Linked DNA regions of Oryctolagus cuniculus. The protein of the gene in region 1 interacts with the protein of each later gene in a biochemical or structural test. Links are inferred from orthologs where the notes say so. Each region holds a gene or a part of one and is shown on either strand. Other genes may lie near its edges.

Region 1 (4,282 bases):
GATTTTAAATCCCCACTTGTATTTGTTGTGTTTGGAGGAGCTGAGCCCAATTTCTCTCCCCTACAATCTTGGTCTCTTTCAAAATAGTCCTGAAGGAAGTATCAGAATAATTTATCTTTAACATTAGTTATAATGAATATGAACTAATTTCCATCATTCATCCATCCCAAACGTATCAGAACATATAAAAAATCCCTCCTAGTTTTAATAAGACTCTTTAAAAACATTTTTGCTTTGTTACAGATAACATGAGTGCTGAATATCTTTGGGTTATTTTCTTTTCATGTACCCTTTATCCAAATGGTCAGCACTTACTCCATGTTATGACTAGAAGCTGACTCCCACATCCCACTGGACCCACGCAGCAATCTGAAATGTGTTAGCTGATTATCCGTTCCTTGTAGAGTTATATTTCACAAACAGCTTTCTCAATAAAACAGAGTATCTGTCTTTGCCCAAAAAGGTGTCACACTGAAGCACATCTTACCTTTCTCATAGCTGACTCATCTGTCACATCTCTCCCCCACACCTGAGGAGTGCTTAGCAGTGCCTGGCACATTGAGAGTGTTCCACAAATACTGCAATTAGTAAGACCTGGACTTTTTCAGCGTCCATATTTTTCCTGAATCTTTATTGTAAATATGTCTTACTCTGCCCTCTCTTTGCTTCACTTTCCTTTTTTCATTCTCAACCAAGAATTCTCTGCTAACTTCAAAAGGAGGAATGACTTGCAATCTGCAGAGAGTAAAACAGATCTTCTCACTGTCAAATCATCTTGCAGAAGTAATTCAAGTATACTACAATTTTATGGCTGCGACACTAGACTGGTTATCCCTTGTGTCTTACGACGAGATCCAAAAGAGAAAACATATCAGGCAGGTGCTCAAGGTATGCTGGGTTCCTTCTCACTTCCACGCATTTACAGATGAGGACACTGAGGTCCAGAAATACCAGCACTCACAACTGTGTTCTAAAACAAAGGAGGCTGCGTTTCCTTCAGTTGTACGGCTTGATGACCCATCTGACAAATCAACAAGACTCACCAATGTATTCTGCACCTGTCAAGAGTGCAGATGTAAGTAACAGAAACTATTTTGGTGAAGTACTAAAATTGTATTGTTATTTGCCTGTCGCTTAAGTCTCACGGGTTCATAGTTGGAACTATCCACCGATTTATAGGCCTTTGAGTTTTTCAGGGCCTTGTTTAAAAAGAGCACTTGAGTTGTAGCTGTTCAAGGGTCTGTAATTTTAGCACACTTCTACTTAAACCTTAGCCAATATTGGCCACAACCGGTTGAGGTTAAAAAAATTATTGCAATAAATATTCATCAGACCAAACATCCGTCAAGAATTTAGGGTGCGTCCTGAGACGATGATTGGTAGCGCTTTGAAATCCATCCCTGGCTATGCACACGCAGTAGAAAACTACCAGGTTCAGCAAACAAGATTTCGAAAAGAGGAGGGGCCTGGAGGAGGAGGGACCCCCACAACCCAGCGCGAGAATACGCCTCGGCGCGTGCGCACCTCCAGGTGGGTGCCTTCCATTTGCCAGATGGGGGAAGCAAGTGCGACTCAGTCTACGGTTTTTAAATTCCCATCCTCAAGCAAAAGTTACGTTGGCATAATCTCGTGAATCTCGTGAAGTCGTCACCTCCCGAGTTCAGGTTTAAAGACTCTTGGCACGCAGAGCTTAAGCAAGAGGTGACTTAGCAAAGCTTCCCCCGTCCCCTGGGACACCGGTGGTCTACTCCATCCACAGACTTTCGCTCCCTTTGCAGCGAGTCGGAGATCGAAGGATTGGGCCAATTGCGGCTGAAACGTCTCTGGAAGGAGGAAGGGGGTGACGGAGCATCCCTTTTGAGTTCTGCCTGTTCTTTTCGAGGTGGTGGTGGGGACGGGAGACATACGAAATACTACCCTCTTAAGCCAACGGATCCTACATCTCCGTGCAAACTGCCGGGGGGGCGGCGGGAAAAGGGCAAAACGGGAGTCGGGAAAGGGAAGGAGCCAGAAAGCCGCGCAGGAGGGCGCGCGCGCGCGCCCCTTTTTCAGCAGTGTGGCGGGGTCGCACGCACGCCCGCCTCGGCGGCTGGGCGCGATTTGCGACACTGGGGGGAGCGGTGGAGGTGGCGGCGGCAGTGGCAACTTTGCGGCAAGCTCCGGACGGGCTTGCTTGACGGCGGTGTGGCGGAGGCCCCGCCCGAGGCGGCAGGAACCTGGGGGGAGGCGGAGGAATATGTCCGAGAGGGAAGTGTCGACAGCGCCGGCGGGAACAGACATGCCTGCGGCCAAGAAGCAGAAGCTGAGCAGCGACGAGAACAGCAACCCGGACCTCTCTGGAGACGAAAATGTGAGTGCGGCCCGGAGCAGCCACGGGACTCTGCGGAGTGGGAGTTTTTAGATTCTTTAAAAACTGCGGGTGCGGGATGGGGGGGCCGGCGCTGGGGCGGGGAGGGGGTAGAGCGAGAGGTGTCACCCCGTGCCCGGGATGGGGAGGGCGTGCGGGCGAAGTCGAACCTGTGTCTGGCGGGGATTTTGAGCCGCGGCCGAGAGCAGGCAGAAAGTTGGCCAAGGAGAGTGGCTTAAGTGAGAGCATGGGTCCGAGAGCTCTCCTCTGCCTGTGGGGAAGTGTTCGGGCCTTTGGGAGATAGAGGGAAGAGTGCGGGTCTGAGATTCCAGTAGTTTAAAAGGCGTGCTAGATTTTCTTTTTTTTTTTTCCCTAAGAGTGGGAAGGAGCGGGCAGTCGAGAACTCTTTCAAAGGAGTTCGGGCACTGTGTCGCTCTGACCCCTGTAGAATCTTCAGGATGCAAAGGGTAGATCTTTGAGTTAATGGAGTTTGAATGAGTGTTTAAGAGCGCCTGGTGTCTGCTCCCGTCCTGTGCGAATCCAATAATGAGAATCTAAAAAAAAAAAAAAATCTTGAACGTGTTTTAGAAAGCTGGTGCGAGCATTTCTCAGTTTGGCCTGCTTTAGGAATAAATGTTGTATCTCACACACGCTGTCCTTAAATTCCCCAGCGTGAATGCCTACTGAAGCGTGTTTATGGCATGGTGTCATGACCAGGATTTTCACGGAAACGGTGGGGGAAAGATTGCTTTCTGCAGAGAAGAAAGATTTCTTGGAGATTGTCAGCTTATGGGGTTTTGCACTTAAAATTTCTGGAAAGTTTGTCTGATATTACTTTAAATATATCTATATGTATATTTCTGTTTGTTCTCCCCAGTCTCACTACATAATTGGGTCTAACATTTTTTATCTTCATTCCAAGTCTTGAAGACCAAGTTTTATTTCTTCGTTTTCGTAAAATTCTGTCGGCAGATTAGGCTGCAGTTAGGAGCACAGACGCTGGATCCACATGTTAGGTTAAAATCCCCACTCTAACTGGTTGCTTGACCTTAAGCAAAGTATGTGACCTAGCTGCCTCAGTTTCTCATCTTTAAAATGGGTATAGAAGCTTTTTTTTTTAACTTTATGAGTTATTGTATTAAATGACGTAATATAGGTAAAGTGCTTAGAGGAGTACCTGCCCTATATCAAGTATTAAGCAAGTGTTATTTGTTTATAGTACTTATTTTGTGATCACCATAGTATGTTTCTTCTGGCTATTTCACATACTGACGAATCAAAATATGAAAATGTTAAATCTATTTAGGAGAATTTCAGGAGAAGAAGTCAATTGAAATCTTATTTTCTTTTTGCAGACCCTTAAGGAGAAATGCCAGTGTTCTTTGTTTCATTCTAAAGCTATTCAGATCCAAATGATTGGATTAGCCTTTGTTTGGGTTGCTCCATTTGGCTAGAAACTGTATGTGCCTTGGACCTTTTAATGAATCTTACGGAGCCTTCTCAGAATAACATTTTTAAATATATAAAATACAATATCTAAAGTTAGAATTTTGAAATTGTAAAGTGTGGCATAAAATATTTCTAAAATAAATTTTAAGTGTAGTAATATTAGCACTTTAAATAACAGGAACTAGCAACAGATCTGGTGGCAGTGATGAGTATAAGCAAGTTTTTCAATATCTGTAACCAATATAATGTGATTTCAAAATACCTGATTTCCATTGGTGAAAAAAATCATGTAACATTAGCACATATATTGTTTGTATTATATAATAAAAGGAAGTGCTAAATTTCAGTTAAGAGCTGTGAAAGTTAAAATGCAGTTTTTTGTGTGTGTGTTTTTATTTGAATTCACAGGCCCTCTCAATTCCATAAGGACTCATGATCTAGGACATAGTTAGGGAAGTCAGTAAGGGAAGGGGTAGAGAATATTGT
Region 2 (3,564 bases), on another chromosome or scaffold:
GCAGCTTTACTCACTGTGCCACAGTGCCAGCCCTTCATGGAAGTTTTTTTTTTTTTATGTCTTTACTTGGGAAAATAAAACATTAACACATCTATGTCAGCCCCTTCTTACTCCACAATTTTTTGTAGTTTAGTTCTGTTTTTTTTTTTTTTTTTCCAGTGCCACAGTAGCAGCTGAGTTTTTAGAATTGTTCCAGGTCCAGGGCACTGTGTTTAGAATTATCAATTATCGTTGCAAGTCTGAGTTTAAACCCTAGCTGCCCTCCCACTTAACCAGCCAGGCCACCTTGAGTGACTGACTGCATCTCTCTGGCTCTGTTCTTTTCTCTTTAACAGTAGAGATGCTGCTTGCTTCATAGACTTGTTTTAAGGAGATAATGTTTCGAATGCCTAGCAATAGGCATCTTCATTAAACGTTACTTCCCATACCTTCCTTCAGTCTGGAAAGTCTGCCTCGTGCGGTGGTTCCATATTTGGACACAGTAAATGCTCATTTAGTGTTAACTCTGGATAATCTTTTTGTGGCAAAACTGAAATGGGACAATAAAGTTATATTCAGGAGTTCATGCAGTGTTGGCTAACATAATTCCAGTTCTTGCAGTGTTCCAAAAATACTTCGGAGCTATGACAGCATGATTAGAATATAGATAGATGTTTATACCTTATTCCTTTCCCAACCAAGTGATAGCCTTAATTTGAATATGTATTTTCTGAAAAGCAGTCTTATTGCTTTATAGATATGCTTTGTGCATCTTGTTTCCTGATAGACAAGGGTGGGTGCTTGGTGCAGTGATTAAGACACTGCTTGGGCTGCTGGCATCCCATTTCAGAGTGCCTAGGTTCAAGTCCTAGGTCTGCTTCTAATATCAGCTTCCTGCTAATTTGAACCCTGGGAGGCTGCAGGTGATAGCTCAAGCGGTTAGGTCTCTGCCACCCACATGGAAGACCTGGATTGAGTTTGTGGCTCCTGGCTTCAGCCTCAGCTACTGTGAGCATTTGGGGAGTGAACCAGTGGATGGAAAATCCCTCTCTCTATTTTTCAAATAAAAAATAAAGAAGTTTTAAAAAATTTTAAATTCAGATCTAATGAGACCTTAAATTTCCAGCAGATAGAAGCCAACCACTAGTAGAATTATTGCTTTCTTACGCCGGCGCCGCGGCTCACTGGACTGATCCTCCACCTTGTGGCGCCGGCACACCGGGTTCTAGTCCTGGTCGGGGCGCTGGATTCTGTCCCGGTTGCCCCTCTTCCAGGCCAGCTCTCTGCTGTGGCCAGGGAGTGCAGTGGAGGATGGCCCAGGTGCTTGGGCCCTGCACCCCATGGGAGACCAGGAGAAGTACCTGGCTCCTGCCATTGGATCAGCGCGATGCACCGGCGGCAGCCATTGGAGGGTGAACCAACGGCAAAGGAAGACCTTTCTCTCTGTCTGTCTCTCTCACTGTCCACTCTGCCTGTCAAAAATAAAATAAAAAAAATAAAAAAAAAAAATTATTGCTTTCTTGGGGACAGGCCACCTAAATCTGTTAGAATCAAGAAAAGTTATTTTCATACAGATGCTGGACAACTGAGCTGCATTTGAGGAGACTGGTTGACAACCCCCTGATGGATTAGGTCGGTCACTTACCCTGAGCTCTTCGTGGCGAAAGATTTTGTCTTATTCAAGATCCTCTTTATTTGTTTGGAGGTGTTTTTGGTTAACCCTGTTAAAACAAGATATAAGTAATATTTTAATTTAATATTTATTTAGAAACTGATTATTGATGAGAAGAAATATTACTTATTTGGGAGAAACCCTGATTTGTGTGACTTTACCATTGACCATCAGTCTTGCTCTCGGGTCCATGCTGCACTGGTCTACCACAAGCATCTGAAGAGAGTTTTCCTGATAGATCTCAATAGTAGTAAGTACCTTTTCCCATCTCACCTGTTCCCCTTGGCAGTGTGAAAATGCTCTTTGGGTTCTTTGGTTTGAAAAACATGTTTTATTGCTCACAAAGGAAAAGGTTTAAGTGTGTTTTTTAAAATCAGTCTTTGTCTATTCCTGTGATTCTCCTGTTTTCCTGAAATTAATGATGACTGACTGTGGAGAGCAGAGAGCTTTGAGGAGCACCTGCTTGAAGAGGCAGTAATAAGTATATATAGAGAAACAAAAAAGCTCCCAGCAACCAGGGCCGGTGGGTATTTAGATATTGATTGGACCGTGATGAATTATGGTCCAGTTTAAGCAGAAGCTAGTGTTAGCTCTGTTAGAATAGTAGAGCAGTGATGTAGGTAGGACATTTAAAAAATACTTTTTTTTGTGAGCAAAATTTAGTTATTTACAATAGGTATATTTGTTTTGCCAACAAATGATATAAATCTTAATTCTAGGAAGTTACTCCAAATAATAAGTTTTCAAATTTTGCTAAAAATAATCCATAGAAATTCAATTGCAGGTTGACTGCATGGAGTCCTAAAGTGTCTTCATGTGCCCTCTTTGACTCTTCCTCTGTCCCTACAAAACACACCACTTGTGTGCGTCATGAAGAACTTGGAGCCTTGCCTTACGAGTACTTACTTCATCTTTGCTTTTCATTTATAACATGCAAAGGTTTTGACAGCCTTGGCATTGGCAATGGGCCTATTGCAGCCAGTCTCCTTTCTTGTCCTGGGAAAAGCCCAAGCGTTAAACCCAGTTTCCACCAGACAAGCAGTTCCTATGTTCCTTAGACTTGGGGCTGGAGAGAGCAGACTACGGTGATGCGCGTGTCTCCTGTCTTGCAGGGGTTTACCTTCCGCTGGGTGGGAGCCACTGCTGTTGGACCCAGAATGGAGCCACGCCTATCTGGCAGCAGAGAGCAGGCAGTGGCATTTGTTACTTGGGGGGACAGCAGGTCTGAAGATGTGTGAGAAGTCCACTGAAAAGATTCAAGGCTCACTGTAACATAGGACAGAGGATGCAGTGGATCCAGTGCCATTTTCATTTTATAAAGCTTGTGTTTTCTCACCATAGTCCTGACTGTGGCATTTTTATGAACAAACAAACTGAACTGATGTGCTGGGAGGACTTGACCTAAGAGAGTTGAAGATGATGCGCTTCCCCCTAAAACTCGGGCTGTTTTTGGTTTCTCCCACCTTACATTTCTGATTTGGTTATTCCCAGCACACGGCACTTTCTTAGGTCACATTCGGTTGGAACCTCACAAGCCTCAGCAAATTCCCATCGATTCCACAGTCTCATTTGGCGCCTCCACAAGGGCATACACTCTGCGTGAAAAACCTCAGACATTGCCGTCGGCCGTGAAAGGAGATGAGAAGATGGGTGGAGAGGATGATGAGCTCAAGGGCTTGCTGGGGCTTCCAGAGGAGGAAACCGAGCTTGATGTAATTCCACGTCTATGTCGTTTTTGTTGTTGGGGACCCTGCTTTTACAGCCCGTGGCTGTTCTGTGCAGGTTGAAACACCAGTGCGTGAGCAGCAGCAGGTTCTCTTGAGTCCGGTAACGGGCCTTCAGCAGGGTGAGATGGCCAGCTGTGGAAAGAGCCACATTGTGCAGATTTGGATAATTATGACCAGAGCCAGCGG

What was found. The genes of interacting proteins can lie anywhere in the genome.
Region 2: the proteins of EED (region 1) and PPP1R8 form a complex in vitro, tested with the Homo sapiens proteins (2 studies listed by BioGRID). The link is inferred for Oryctolagus cuniculus from reciprocal best matches to the Homo sapiens genes EED and PPP1R8.

The regions. Positions count from the first base shown.
Region 1 is NC_091432.1:77,386,717-77,390,998, forward strand, and holds the start of EED (polycomb protein EED), read left to right. Parts: upstream 1-1,451; 5' UTR 1,452-2,236; coding exon 2,237-2,350; intron 2,351-4,282. UniProt on the Homo sapiens protein: Polycomb group (PcG) protein. Component of the PRC2/EED-EZH2 complex, which methylates 'Lys-9' and 'Lys-27' of histone H3, leading to transcriptional repression of the affected target gene.
Region 2 is NC_091438.1:143,791,400-143,794,963, reverse strand, and holds part of PPP1R8 (nuclear inhibitor of protein phosphatase 1), read left to right. Parts: intron 1-1,747; coding exon 1,748-1,901; intron 1,902-3,142; coding exon 3,143-3,363; intron 3,364-3,564. UniProt on the Homo sapiens protein: Inhibitor subunit of the major nuclear protein phosphatase-1 (PP-1). It has RNA-binding activity but does not cleave RNA and may target PP-1 to RNA-associated substrates. May also be involved in pre-mRNA splicing.